2 linked regions of the Caenorhabditis elegans genome follow. The protein of the gene in region 2 purifies or fractionates together with the protein of the main gene of each other region. This does not show direct contact. Each region holds a gene or a part of one and is shown on either strand. Other genes may lie near its edges.

Region 1 (6,784 bases), on a different chromosome or scaffold from region 2:
TTTAAAAAGTTTATACTTTTACACTGATAGTTGTTTTTGTGTGAAAAATGAGTAAAATCAGAAATGAAGTGTGGTGACACGATGGATCACAAGAATTTTCATCTTAATCGGGATCCCCTCTACGAACGCAAAAATCGGAGTAGCGAAAAAAAACTAGCATGGAGTGTAGAACAGTAAAATTGAGAAGATCAAACGATAAGCCAGCTACACATAACACAGTGGAATAATGCGAATTTCAAAGTTTGCTTCTAATGAACATTTCAATATTTTTCCAAAAGTTCAGTATTTGCTGATGGCTAAGCCTGCAATAATTAGAGTTTGAATCTGTTGTGAGTATATTAGTTACTCTTCCTCCTTTTCCTTTAACTCTCGGTTTTTGCAATTTTTGTTAAGTTTATACACCTGTGTGTTCTAAAATTGAACAAAATCTCACATACTCCTTCAAATAAACAATTGGTTTTCTGTGATGACAACTCCAAATCAATAACTGATGTGAGCCTCACCCAACAGCCTCATGACTACTCGTTATCCATCTACCTCTCCCGTTTGGTGTTACTAGTACACTGTGAGAGTATTTGCGGTCAATGTGCCCCATTTGACGACCATTGTCTGCGTCTCTTCTTTCTTGCCATTGTATCACTGGCGTTTTTTCACCGTTTCTGCTATTGGGCACTGAGAGTTCTTGTGGACTCTCACGGTTTTCCACAATATTTGTCGTTTCCACTTGCGCTTCTTCTCCTCTTCCATTTTCCATGGAATAGATACAATCTATGCGAGTTTAGATGTCAATTGTTCGGGCAGTATACGTGTCGACGATGCGTCTCCTTCAATTGATTATTGCTTTTATTCGGAATTTGTGCAATGGGAATCGCAACAAAAAGCGCATGGATGTGGATGACTTGCCGTTTGAGGGTAAGCTTTTCATTAAAAATTTTGAAAATAAAAACTGAAGTGTTAACGTTGAAAATGTTGCCAAAAGTGGCAAAGCTTCTAATGTGGTGCAGGAATAAAAGAAGATAAATACAAAGAGCTCTTAAAATTGAATTTTCTTTTATGGGTTGCTGTCTTCCGATACCGTTTGTTACTTGAAGTCTTGACATCAAGACCAGCCACAAAAAGAATTGCAATTTTTCACATATGCTTTTCTTTTTTTTTGCTATTAAGATTTTAAATCAAAAAGCCGTTATTGAATGTGATTTTAAGCGTTGTCAATATTTTTGGCGCTACAGTTCAAGAGGTAAAGCTTTACCAGCATACGAAGAAAACATTGCTGCCTGGGTGTCAGAACAAAATTCAATAGGAGACCCCCTTAAACTCCTGTTTTTTTTAAATAATTGTATACACCAAGTATAGTAAGGATGTTCAATTTGTGTGAAAAGTATATGGAGCGATTGAAATAAACTGGGTTTTTTTCCGGGTTGAGCAAAGTTATTGTTTTATTTTTTCTTTTTTTTCTCTGTTTTGCATAGTAGAAACAAGTAGAATATATATTTTTCATTTTAAAATCAAACCGCAGCCTAAAAGGTCAGGCTAAAAGAAAAGCACCACTTTTATAAAGTTTTTCAGTGGTCGTCGACAACGGTCGTACAGAAAGGAAAGGTGAAGAACGAGCATCACTGCTTCAAAATGAAGTCACCGATTCGTGGGGAGACGATGACTGGGATAAAAAGGAAGAAGTGAACGACAAAATTGAGCAATGGAGAAACAGTAATGCTCAGGTGAATTCAAAAGCAGGCACAATACATACAATCTATACCGTGTTTTATTTAATTTCAGAAACCGGACACCCACACCAAACCAGATGACGACTTGTTTAGCACACTAGAGCCAACTATTACCAGCGCCAGAAAAGTATGTATTTTAAAGAAAAAAAACGTTAGTCTCAATTATATTGATGAAAAATCAATTCAATAAAATTAAAAATGTGAGAATAATAAATTCCACACGAATACTAAAATTGAATGTGAAACAGCATGCTAACTAGTTTGTAATATTTTCAATATTAAATCAAAATTTTGCCATTTGTTGCTTCGCTCTTGTCACTTCTCAATAAAGTCTACCAAATTGTATTGTAGCAATTGTTTTTCAGAACTCGTTAAACGTTATAGTTTAAATAGTATATTTTACACTTTTTTTGGAACATTTGATAATTATCAACTTTGTTTAAAACTTCATCTAGACAGAAACTAAAAACAAAAAATTCAAGGCAGAAGATTTCTAGTAATTTTGCAAACCACGTTTAATTAGAACTTGTCTAGTTCTCTTTTTTATAAATTCCGCATTTTAAATGTTTTCGTTTGGTAGTTTGAATCATAATCCCAGCAAGAGGAAAACATGTAGCATTCAATTTTTTCCCTTGCAAATTAGTCTCTGAAAATACAAACCAACTGAACTGAAGAAGTATTTGTACTGTGAAAATTGCAACGCAAAATAATTGTTTTTACAATGCATTCTGATATTAAAAATACTTTTTCCAAACTGGGAAAATTAATTTCTTTCCAGGTTGTCTTGGCCCCACGAGGCGGGTTCCGTGATACGGCTCCCAAGAAAAGCAGATTTGACTTTAACGAAGCAAATGTGGTGAGTTTGGGTTGGTTTATATATTTATTAGGATGTCAAAACAAACAATGTTTATACATAAATAAGAGGTACGCTGTAGATGAGATAACTAGTTAATTGAGGAGCTTCTTGTTGAGAAAATCGTCTTCATTTTTCACTTCCGTCGGTGCTTCTGTCGTTGTGACGCCGTTCTCATTAGCAGCCTTATCAAGCTTTCCCTTGATTACATTGAATCTCTTCTTTTCGAATTCACTCATCTCCTGTAACATGGAATAGTAAGAACAGTTAACTATATTAATGAATTACATCAATTTTGCAATGATCCCTTTCTGATTGATATTGGCAAACTTCAATTGTTACATCAACACGGGAGCTTCCGTCGCGTTCCATTTTAACGTCACTAAAAAGTGATTGTTATAGAAAATGCTAGTTAACTAGAGAATGCTTACCGAATGTAGTGGTTTGGTGCCAACACCGGATTGGTTCTGATGGATGGACCAAGGACGGAAATGGATTCGGTGTCTCTCCAGATACACTTTTCACGACCGCTGCTGTCTGCAAAACGCAACATTTTGGTCGTGTTAATCTTGCGATGGCAGCTAGTTTTTGAGTTTCTCGCCGATGTGAGTCTTAGTCACTTGTTACATTATCCTCACCTGTCTCCACTCTAGTAGCCAATGAAGCGCAACACAAAACCATCAAGGATTTCGAGTTGAGGAGAAGGCCAGAAACGAAAGTGCGACGTCCGCGGAAAGTGGAGAACGACGTATGTTCATTACATTGCTTGCGCCATTCGCATTGCACCGCACACGTATATGGGATGAATTTGGCACAGATCGCCTAAATTGCTGGCTTTTAGAAGAGTTTGATAATTAGAAAATTCTTAGAAGTATGAAAATTCTGACTTACATTTGTGGACTCGTATGAGAATAATTTCTGGCCAACATAACATTGAACTGCCGAATAGACAACAGTAGGAAGAAGACACGCTATTACCAATTTCAGCATGGTTCTGAAAAAAGCTTTTGAAATATGTGGTTATCTTGAATCCGATGGCAATTGAAAGAAGAAAAAAATGCAAACAGAATGGCAGAATGGGACGGGTTTGTAAATGAAATGAAGTTGGAAAAAGGGGGGGGGGGGGTGGAGATTCGTGAGATTCAAATCTTGCAATCTTTCACAAAAGGTGAATTCGTGAATTTGTGAAATAAAGGCGTGAATGATAGGGGAAAAGTGATTGTTATCCCGGTTTGGGTGTCTGGCCGGACGGGCATTCTTCAAACATCAAGCGATAAGACTAGTTTCCAGCTTCAGTGATATAGAACTGATTATACTACTAACGCGCGTTAGCTACTGTTTAGTTTGGCTAAGGTCGAGGTCAAGGAAAACTGGATCTTTAATTGCATCTTGGGACAAATACTTTTTTGTCCAGTGAGCCTGATTGTGTTAATATAGTTTAATAAAATTTTAGTGTAATGGCATCCGAGCAGATTTCACGCGCAGAAAAATATGAAGTGAATGGCGGATTATGAAGAAGTGAAGGGCTTCTCTGTGAACCTTAGAACCTGTTTCCGATGGCCGCGAGTTGTGCCCGCCCCTCATCATATCTGAATTTAACCTTTCATGGCCGCCCGTTTCGTAAACGTAAACATGCGCAGCAAAAGATAAGGATAGAAAGTGAATACAGATTCAAAAATGTGAAATCGAATGGCAAGTATCTTATCGTATAGTATTTTTCGTTTAACGAGGAACTAACAAGCCACCAAAAAAGCGGTATTTTTTATCTGGCATTCAGCTGGGGGTGGAGAACGTCATGAAATTACGTTAGGTACGCAACATGTATGACCATTTTACACGGTTGTACTATAGATGTTCTAAGAAAATTTGTATTGTAATATGTCATGAAAAATTCAGATAAGATAATTTGATGAACATACATTTCACGACGTTGAGCTTTTGATACATGGCTTTCAATTAAAGTTAAGCGCAAATTGCGTTCCAAACAGTATAGTAAATTTCAAAAAAATACCAAATTGAGGATTACATTCTAATTGAGAAAACAAGTTATTTAGTTTTTTATTCGATAAAGAAACGAAACAATTGTTCATGACGCTGCAAATGTTTGGAATGAAGTTAATTTTTGTTTTTTCTAATGCAACCAACTGCTCTCATTATTATTTCTTCTAACCGTATTGCACCCTACTACTTGACTTTTAACAGTTATCCTTCTGCTAACTTTAAATTAAAACCTGAAACAGATTGAACAATCTGTTTCAGGTTTCAAAAGCATTTTTTCATGAACGGATTAGTGCTGATATGTGAACAATCATAAACGGTACAATTTGATTTACTGTGGGCTTTTGAAGAGAGGAGATATACAAAAAAACATTGCTAGGAAGAAATCACCAATTCGATTTACAATATATATATATGGTCAACCTAAACGTAAAACATTGAATATTATAAAATCAAAATTAATTCACGATGGACCGTTTTTGAACATAACTTTTACAAGCTTCATCATGACAATGATAATATGACGATCTTATGATTTTGCTTTCACAGTGTGCGAGGAAACGAGTAAACAGAATAACGAAAGAAGAACAATATACTCGTTCTGCTAATCAGTGTAGTCGGTATTCGATTGTTCTCCTCCCCTAATTTTTTCCACGGAGAGTCCTGTTGAGAATGGATTCTTCAGCTAGCTTCAACAGCTTCTCCTTCTTCTTCTTGTCTTGTGTCTGTTTCTACTTCTCTATCTAGTTGTTCGTCAACTTTTTATGAATAGCCGCCAATCGGTCGGGACGGCGGCGCAAATTGCGGGAAAGAGATGCCGGGGACGCGCTTGACTCTTTTTTTTTCTCGCGCGTTCACAAGATTTCTGGGCGATGGAAGAGGAGACAAAAATTCTAATGACAAAAGGTGTCGCTGTGGTGATGCAGGAAAAAGACAAGAAAACCTGATTGCAATCCATTTTTTTTTCAGGGAGCTACGCCGACACTTGGAGATATCGATGATGATCTTCTCGGATGGGGTGATGACGATTTGGATAGCACCTTGAAAGAGGTATGTACTTTAGAAAATAGTTTTGAAAAAATATTACCTATTATCAAAAAAAATTCCGTTCGTCGTTTAGCCAATGATGTATGAAATTTTAAGCAAAGAAATTGATACTCAAGACAGCTCGCTGATTAGAAAAAAAAAACAAAAATTATGTAGTAATCTAGAAATGTAAACCTGTCATTTCTGTGTATTTCAGCACCGCGAAGAGCACCATAAACAGCTACAACAAGAGCACGAACGTCGGCTCCAACAGAAAAAGCTGCAAAACGCTGGTACTCACCACATGCTCTGATAATTGCCATTTCCTTCGATTTCTGACTTTCAATTGTGATATGATAACCTCAAAATCTCCATTCAAAATGAAAACTCTTAAATTTAAGAGCTTTCAACACCCCGCACTTTCCCACCTCATCGTTTTTCCCTTCTATCTTATCAATTTTTTGTATTTTGTGTCAGTTTGCTATATCCTCATCACCTTTTTTACCGTTTAATCTCTCTATAGTATTGTTCGGGTGTTTCAAGATGAAACGTTTTGTGTGTAGCATTTTTGAAACACAGCGCGAAAAATGCAGAAACTATCATCCACAATGCATTAAGTGCACTCATTGTGATGACTCCTAACCCCCTCGCCCCACCAGTTGTCTCTTCACAAATTCATGGCACAATTCAAAAATGGCTTTTTGTGTTGGATCTTGATCTCGTCTCTTTCCTTCTTCTTTCGTTTCTCTCGGACCACTCATTATTCGAATGCCATGCATTTGTTGATGATGCGCAGCGATGGTCGCACACACTACAACAGATATGATGGTGGCTGTGCGTGGTGCAGAGCTCATGAATAAGTGATGGGGCACCGAGATGTGACTCCTCCCATTATTCGTCTTGAGTCGCATCTTTTGTCTTGGTCCGTTGTCAGTCGAGCCTCAAGGCAGCCGTTCCGCCAGTGATCGCCTGCTAAGAAGTTGTAGGTGTAGAGGAAGAAACGTCGGGTCCAAATTTCAAGCAACATGCGCGAGATCGTTCATATTCAAGCCGGACAATGCGGTAATCAAATCGGTTCGAAGGTTAGTATTTTCAGTTATAATGTTCCTAGTTGTGCTTTATGCCAAGCAATTTCAGTTCTGGGAGGTAATATCCGATGAACACGGCATTGACCCATCTGGCC
Region 2 (8,440 bases):
GGAGATAAAAAGAGTTGGCAACCAACAAGACATAAAAGGAAAATCAAACTGAATGGATCTATAAACCTATTTTAGTTTTAGGTTCCCCTCGCAATTCGGAAAATCAAAGCCTCGAAGAACTAAATTGATGAAAGTTTCACGATGAAACAGTTCTAAATGTCTAGTTTCTACAAACAGTGAGAAGGTCCAAGAGCAGGAGCAAGAAATCATAGAAATTATGAATATAGATCCCAGAGTACAAGGAGAGATGGAAAAGTTGAAAAATTGTCATAAGAGGAATTCATAAGCGCGAGAATAAAATCTCAGGTTACGGTAACTTTTGTAGGGGGCATTGTCTGTTCCTTCTTTTGAGTTTCGCGGCCGCCATTTCTATATGTGAACTGTATTGTGTGGAAGTGTAATTCAATTTACTCTACAAATCTCCAACTCAGTATCAAAAGAAAACAACTGAAATTTACAAGAACTACTAGAGAACAAACTACAATTGGGACCTATGTTTTTTTTTAATATTCATACATTTTTTCATATCTAGAATATACTAAATATAGAAATTAATTTTTAATTCGTAGTAAAATATCAGTAGTAAATGATATAATCCCTGCCGTGGTAGTAAGAATGTCTACTGTATAGCAAAATAGATACGAAGTAAAAGATCAAGTATTTAGTACAACAGTATTTGCCGACCATTTGTTGTTTAAGTTGTTATAAACTAATGTTACCTTCTGATTTCTGTTGAGCTCGGTTTCTAAGTTGCTTTGTTTTTACTGTTTCAAAATTTCATGATATATTAAAATCACTGTTTCATTAGAAATATGCGCAAAATTATCAAATTTCGAAATCTTGAAAAACAAACAAAAAAATGATCTAAAACTCTGTACTTAAAAAACAATCGGAATGAAGAGATATTAAATTAAGCCGGCATGCGGAGTGCTCCGTCAAATCGAATAGTTTCTCCGTTCAAATACTGATTTTCAATGATGTGCTGCACAAGAGCTCCGTACTCGTGTGGGTGTCCAAGTCTCGATGGATTTGGGATGAGTTGGGCCAGGAAGGATTTAACCTGAAAATTAAACTTGTTTAATGAATAGGAACGTCCTTTTCAGCCCTCACCTTTTCTGGAAGTGAAGAGAGAAGTGGAGTATCCATAAGTCCTGGAGCAATAGTGTTGAATCGGATACCATCGCCAGCAAAATCACGAGCCAATGGAAGAGTCATACCAACAATAGCGCCCTTAGAAGCAGAATAGGCAGACTGCAAAAATTTTTTAACTTATTTAAATTTGTTAAATTGGCATTGTATATTTTCAAAAATTTGGCCTGTTACATGTGTTATATGTGCCAAGGTTCACAGTTTTGTTCATTTGGTGCAGAAAATTAAGTTTATGAAATTTTAAATTCAGAACTGTACAGAAGAATCCAGGATTCACAATAAAATGCTTAGCATCTAGTTTCAAGTTTTTGCGAATTGATGATATGCTGATTTTGAAAAATGTTGGCAAAATTTTAGAATTTTAATTCGAATAAAAGTCATAAATTAGAAATTTTTCGCCAAAAAATACGGTACCCGGTCTCGCCACTTTTTTTTGTAAAACACAAACGGTATTTTAATTTCAAACTTTCTTTGCTGCAGAGCTTTCATCGATTTTTATAGTTTCACTCACAATTTGTTATTTTAGTTTTATTTTAGTTTTTACAGTAACAAATATATTTTTAACAAAAAAATGAAGACATGATAAAAATTCTTCAACGACAAAAGTTTGAATTCTTTAAAGGCGCATAGCCGTTTGTATTTAACAAAATTGTCGTGTCGAGACCGGGTACTGTAACTTTCATATAATACAAAAACCTCAAAATTTTGTGCCTCGAAATATTTATATTTACCTGTCCAGTTTGTCCATCAAAAGCTGCAACCGAAGCGGTATTAATTACAACTCCTCGTTGTCCATTGGCATCTTTCTCGTGTTCTCCCATTAAAGCAACTCCGTGTCGGATAACATTGAATGTTCCCAAAACATTAACCTAAATTGTTTTAAGTTATTTTGGTGGTTGAAATGACAGTAACTGACATCAATGGTCTGACGGATCTTCTCAAAATCAACGTGTTTCTTCTTTTGAACAGAGTAGAGCTTGAAAGCATACGCAATTCCGGCACAATTCACAAGAGCATCGAGGCGACCATATTCAGCTTGAACTTTGGCAAAAGCTGCTCTCACTTCTTCTTCGGATGTTACCTGAAATTTATGAAACGTTTGTTTTTTAATGAGAAAATACAATAATAAATTATGTTATTACGGGAGCACTAAATTCGGAGAATGCGTATAGAACCACATATTTGACGCGCAAAATATCTTGTAGCGAAAACTACAGTAGTTCTTTAAATGACTACTGTAGCTCTTGTATCAATTTCAGGGTTGGTTTTTTTCCAAATTAGTTAAAATCAATTTAATTATTTAATTTAAGAAAAAATGAAGGAAAATCTAATATCACTGTCACTATTCGAGAATAAATTCATTTCGAAAATCGATCCCGTAAATCGGCACAAGAGCTACAGTAGTCATTTAAACAATTACTGTAGTTTTCGCTACAAGATATTTTGCGCGTCAAATATGTTGCAAAATACGCATTCTCAGAATTTTGTGTTATCGTAATATTTGAAGCGTAAAACTTTGTAAAATACTAATGTATGTGCGCCTTTAAAAAGTACTGTAATTTTACAGTACTCTTAAAATTGAAAATGCTGTGGAATTTTTATCGACTTTTCGTAGTTTTTTATCATGATTTGTTGAATAAAATTGATGTGCTTTCAATTTTTAATTCTTAATTTAAAAAACGATGAGAATTTCATGAAAATTCAGTACTAACGAAATTTTGAAATAACAGTACTCTTTAAAGGCACACACTCGTTTCTATTTTACAAAAAAGGGCGTGTCGAGACAGAGATCGCAAAATTGGCGTCTGGGTAATATTTTACTTGAAGTTTCTCTTTACAAATGTAGCATGAAATCATTGTTACCGAAGCTGGTGTAAAGATTCCTCCGATCTCCTTCGCAACATCGGCTCCTTTTGACTGTGGAAGATCAAGAATAGCGACCTGTGCACCAGCCTTTGCCAAAACTTCGGCAGCACCCTTTCCCAGTCCAGACGCTCCGCCAGTGACGAGAGCAACGAGACCCTGAGAAGATAGAACGTAGGGTTTTCAGATAACACTTTCAATTTTGGAGCAAGTATTCAACCTTTTCAAGCTCTTAAACTCACCTTAGTGCTTCTGAGTGCCGACATTTGTTCCCGTTTACCTAAATCATAAGTGTGTTTGATTAAACATTCAAAATCTCGAACTAAGACGGAAAGTATTTAATAAAAGAAATCGCAACGAAATTCGAAAATAATTCTTGATAACAAAAGCATATTTCTCTCGAAATGTTTATAAAATTAAATTTTTCTTTAAAATAGTTGACGAATAGTATGGATTAAAAGTGGAATATGGGTTAAATACAATGCTTAATGCTTTTGTTTCAGGGATTTTTTCCTGCAAACGTGTAGCTTGCGACAGAAAAGAGAAGTAGAGATAAACAGTAAAAAAGCGATGAGAGATAACTGTGAAGCAGGAGAGATAAGAATGGGGGAACGAGGTGGGACATATTTATGGTGACAGCTCAAAAAATCAGAAATCATAGAACATGAAGAATACACAAACAGAGAATAAATGTTTATGGGGACATGAAAATATTTGGAGCAGACTAGTTTTGATCACTCGTCGTCTTCTTCTTCCTCATCCTCGTTCGAGAAGCGGCGAGTTGGACGAGACTTTCGACGGCTTGATGCTGGTTCCTGGAAATTAAATATTAGACTTAAAGACATTAAAAAAGTTCAAGTAACCTTCTTTTGTCCAATGATCTCCTCTTCTTCATCTTCTTCCATTGGGTCTTCACTATCTTCCGATTCCTTCTTCTTTTTCGGTGGTGGTGCACTTGCAGACGATGTTGATGGTTCATCATCTTTCTTAGCTTCCTCGGTCTTTACAGAAGACGAAGTTTCTTTTTTCTCGTCCTTTTTGGGGGTTACTTTAGTTGAAGCTTGTGCACGTTGAGCTAGCATAGCCGACTGCATATATTGAAGCATTAGGGCTTGATTTCCACCGGTCTGTGTCATCAATGCCTGTTGAAACTGCTGAGCCTGTGCGGGTGGAAGTGATTGCATATGTGTCATAAGCATTAACATTTGCTGAGCAGTTGCCTGTTGTGTCCGCTGAAGATCTGACACACTTGGAGTGCCACTGGTTGAGGGACGAGAAGATGAAGTTGATGGGGTTGAAGGTTCTTTCTTCTTGACTGGTTCTTCTACTGGCTTCGGTGGATTCATAAACTGAAAAAGTAATGTAAACTTCGAAATTTCAAAAATCAATCATACCTTATCGTATTGTTCCTTCCACAATTTTCCGATTGTTTCAGAGCTAACATAAATCTCACTGCCTTCTTCGTTGTATGTTTGAGCATTGTTCACAAGCAAATTCATATCATCATTCAATTCTTCCATAACCGTATAACGTCCTGTTTCGATCTTTTTGTTGATTCGATCGAAATCCATTGGTTTGGAAATCACTTGATAATAGTCCGGCAGTTCTTTACGAGTTGGAAGTGTCTGGAATACATCCGCGATGAGTTCTCCATCCTCATTTTTATATTCTAGAATAACATCAAGCATTTCATTGATTTTTTCTGCCAATTCTGGATCCGTCTTCTTCTTCTTGTGTTGTAGAACAACGTCATCCATAGAATCATCATTCTCGTCCAATCCAGCCATTTTACGTTTTCTTTGCTTTTTACGTTCAGCCACAGCTTGATTATTTTCATCCTCAACTTCCTCAACTTGTTTCATGAACTGTTCATCGGACAAAAGATCGGAAGAGTAGTCGACCTGAAAATGAATTAATATTGTAAATTCTCTTATATATTCCTTACCTCTCTTCTGCGTCTTCTCTGATTAGGAGTTTGATCAACAACTTCACGACCTTCCTCTCTGGCTCGTTCCATTTCCTCATAATCGAATGACAATTTGAGAATATCGTCTGGAATTTCATGTTCTTCTAGAAGACGGGGTTTACGGTGAAGTTGATTAGCTTCTTCACGACGACGATCAATATCCATCGATTGGAAGATATTAAATTCTTCCTCTGAGCGAGCAACCATCTGATTCACAGTTTCATCATCTGGAACTTCCTCTTCTTCTTCCTCTTCTCCGTCTGCTTGAATAATTTGTTCGAGCATTTGCTTTCTTTCAGCTCCAGTTGAACGTTGATCGAACTTTCCTGCTTGAATAACTTTCTCGTCGACATTCAACTTGTAGCGAGCAGCGGCAAGAATTTTCTCTTCAACAGAGTTAGCTGTGATGAGACGAAGAACTCGAACTTCTTTCTTTTGTCCGATACGATGTGCACGATCTTGAGCCTGCATATCCTGATGAGGATTCCAATCCGAATCAAAGATAATAACAGTATCAGCAGTTTGCAAATTGAGTCCAAGACCTCCAGCTCTTGTAGAAAGCATGAAAAGGAACAAATCACTGTTAGGAGCATTAAACTGTGTCAGCAGATCTCCACGCTCGTCTGGTTTAGTTGAACCGTCTAAACGGAGGTACGTGTATCTTCGGAAATTCAAAAAGTCTTCGAAAATGTTCATCATAGACGTCATCTGGAAGAACATCAGAATTCGATGACCTGTTGCCTTTAGTTTCGGTAGAATACGATCGAGAAGTTCCAACTTTCCAGCAACACGCATTAGATCGGTTCCATTGACTTCGTTGACCTTCCAGTATGCACGGCAGGAATCTTCAATATTAGGGAAAAGGAACGGGTGATTGCAAAGCTTGCGAAGATGCACGACAGTGTTCATCAACGAACGTGCTCCAGATGACATTTTAGCGTCGAGAAGCAATCCTTTCTGCATATGACGATAAATAACCTTTTGCAAAGCAGACTGGTCACACTTGATGACATACTCGGTCTTGTCAGGAAGCTGTGATTCTACTTCCTTTTTGAGACGTCTCAGCAAGAATGGACGAAGAACCTTGTGCAGTCTTCTGATGATGAGCATCGTCTCTTCTTGATTCAGTTCTACTTTCTCTCCTGTAGTCGCAAATGGAGCATTGAACCATTGTTCGAAAGTTCCACAAGATGAGAAGATCGATGGAAGTAAGAAGTTCAGCAGAGCCCATAGCTCAGGAAGTTTGTTCTGAAGTGGAGTACCAGTAAGAAGTAAACGATGCTGAGCATGGAAGAATCCGTTCAACATCAATGTCAATTTACAATTGTGATTCTTCAAACGATGTCCTTCGTCGATTATCATATACTTCCAACGGATTTTACCAAGCAGTGCTTTCTCTTTGATCACATATTCATATGTTGTCATCAAAACGTTGAACGCTCCTTTTCTGATTTGTCCTTCAACACGACGACGAGCATCTTTAGTTCCTTTATAGATGATAGTGGTTACAGATGGAGCCCATTTAGCAAATTCGTTCTGCCAATTGGACAACGTGGAGAGCGGTACGATGACAAGATATGGTCCATTGTTTTGTTTGACTTCCATCAAATACGTCACCAACGAGATTGTCTGAAAATTAAAAATTGATTAATATTTCCTCATTTCCCAAATTCCTACCTGAATAGTTTTTCCTAGACCCATTTCGTCGGCGAGGATACCGTTCAGATTGTTGTTGTATAAGGAGACCATCCATTCCAATCCCTTAATCTGATACGGTTTCAGCAGAAGATTCGGATCACCACCACCCATCGTTGTGTGTTGCTTGACAACCTTTTCTTTGATTTTGTGAGCAGTTGCATAGTAATCAGCCATTTGCTTTTTCGTTTTCTGATCATATTCATCCTCTTCGTTACGTGCCTTCTCGAGGATCATCTTAGCTTTTGTCTCTTCATCCATTCCAGCGTACTGATCATCCTTCTCTTCTTCTGGTTCCACTGGAGCCTCTTCCTCTTCCTCTTCTTCGTCATCACTAAGCTGATCACGTGGAACTATCTCATATTCTGGATGAGTTTCAAGCCAAAACTCAATTTCTTCAGTCTTTGGAGCTTGATCTCCAGTAAGCGCTTTTCCAGTGCTTCTCTCCCGAACGTGAACCCTGGCTTCCTCATCCATTTGATTTCCTTTTTCAATTTTCTTATCTTCCTTCTTCTTTTTCTTTTCGGTATTTTGATGTTGACGAACAAGTGAGCACAGAGAGTCGACGTACTCATCGGTTTGTTGAAGAAGATACACAAGACGTTGATCTTTCTTCTCATCAAGAAGAGCACGATATCCTTCTTCATCTTCTTGCATCAGTTTTTGCATACGAAGTTTTTCATTTCGAATCTCGTCCTTCTTGCGTTCACGTTCATTGTTTTGATGATATGTCATGACTGCCTTGCGAGACTTTGCCATTTTCAGAAGATTGTTTCTGAAAATAATTTAATTAGTAGGAGAACTTTCTAAATACAATCTCACCTATGATACTCCTTGAATTCCTTTCCATGCTGAATGATAGCTTGCATCAAATCAGTATGCTTCTGCCTTCTCTTTCTTTCTTGCTCCATCTTTTGTTGCTTCTCAAGCTTTTCGGTAACACGAGCTTCGCGTAAAGATTGCCGCTTTGTGCGTCGATACGCATATGGATTGAGTGCAGTTTCGAGAGTTGTGTCTCTTTTGAGACAAGCCATCACTTCACTGCGCACCTAAAAACAGCTTATTGGTTAAAATACTCTTCGAATCCAGAAATTACCTGAGTTTGGAGATTGACAAGACGTAAAGCACGCAATTCGATTTCTGCTTTCAATTTCATGTGATCTGGAATGTCGGCGGGTAAGTTATTGAGTAGCTTCATGCGTAGCCCGATTCTGTTTTGAATCATATTTTCTCTTTGCTTGAGCATGCCAACAGGATCAATTCCTGATGGAACAGAAATTGTTGTTGGACGATTACAGCGTATTTGATGGAGATTGAAAATCTGTAAAAAAGTAGACTGTATAGTTTCATTCGATCCATTTTACCTACCTTCATCAAATCATACGGCAACTTTTCTCCATTCTCTGCCTCTCCTGGATATTCATAAGGTTCAGGCAACAAAGTTGTAACTTTTGGTCGGAGCATGACAGCATCCGCAATCAAGTTGGCCGGTACTTGTTCATTTCGAGCCAAAAGACGATAGGCTGACACTTGAGCCCTCAGTTGATTGAGTTGTGCTGGGGTAATTTGTTGATTCCCGCCATTTTCCTGTCCTGGAACGGCGTCTGGGAGACCAGATTGGAGTTTTTGCTTCAAAAGAACTGCTTTGGCGTGTCGATGGTCATTCTGAAGACCTTGTTCCTCCATTGAAGTTATCGCATTTTCCAGTTTGGAAATTGTCAGCTCTTGGCCTTGAGCTCCATCACCAGCTTGCTGAGCAACAACTTC

The links.
Region 1: the proteins of ard-1 (region 2) and ZK154.1 fractionate together in Caenorhabditis elegans (co-fractionation; one large-scale study listed by BioGRID). This does not show direct contact.

Annotation. Positions count from the first base shown.
Region 1 is NC_003284.9:7,776,409-7,783,192, reverse strand, and holds ZK154.1 (Apple domain-containing protein), read right to left. Parts: upstream 3,617-6,784; 5' UTR 3,568-3,616; coding exon 3,469-3,567; intron 3,400-3,468; coding exon 3,216-3,399; intron 3,115-3,215; coding exon 3,009-3,114; intron 2,960-3,008; coding exon 2,866-2,959; intron 2,820-2,865; coding exon 2,673-2,819; 3' UTR 2,586-2,672; downstream 1-2,585. Other genes in the region: ZK154.4 (uncharacterized protein), read left to right, coding at 783-912, 1,567-1,718, 1,777-1,851, 2,503-2,580, 5,545-5,625, 5,819-5,914; mec-7 (Tubulin beta-1 chain), read left to right, coding at 6,627-6,683, 6,739-6,784.
Region 2 is NC_003282.8:11,126,131-11,134,570, reverse strand, and holds ard-1 (3-hydroxyacyl-CoA dehydrogenase type-2), read right to left. Parts: upstream 3,293-8,440; 5' UTR 3,279-3,292; coding exon 3,255-3,278; intron 3,172-3,254; coding exon 3,013-3,171; intron 2,231-3,012; coding exon 2,066-2,230; intron 2,019-2,065; coding exon 1,881-2,018; intron 1,252-1,880; coding exon 1,111-1,251; intron 1,061-1,110; coding exon 911-1,060; 3' UTR 788-910; downstream 1-787. Other genes in the region: SWI/SNF chromatin remodeling complex core catalytic subunit swsn-4, read right to left, coding at 3,747-3,827, 3,876-4,361, 4,407-4,913, 4,958-6,607, 6,656-7,448, 7,496-7,722, 7,770-7,994, 8,042-8,440.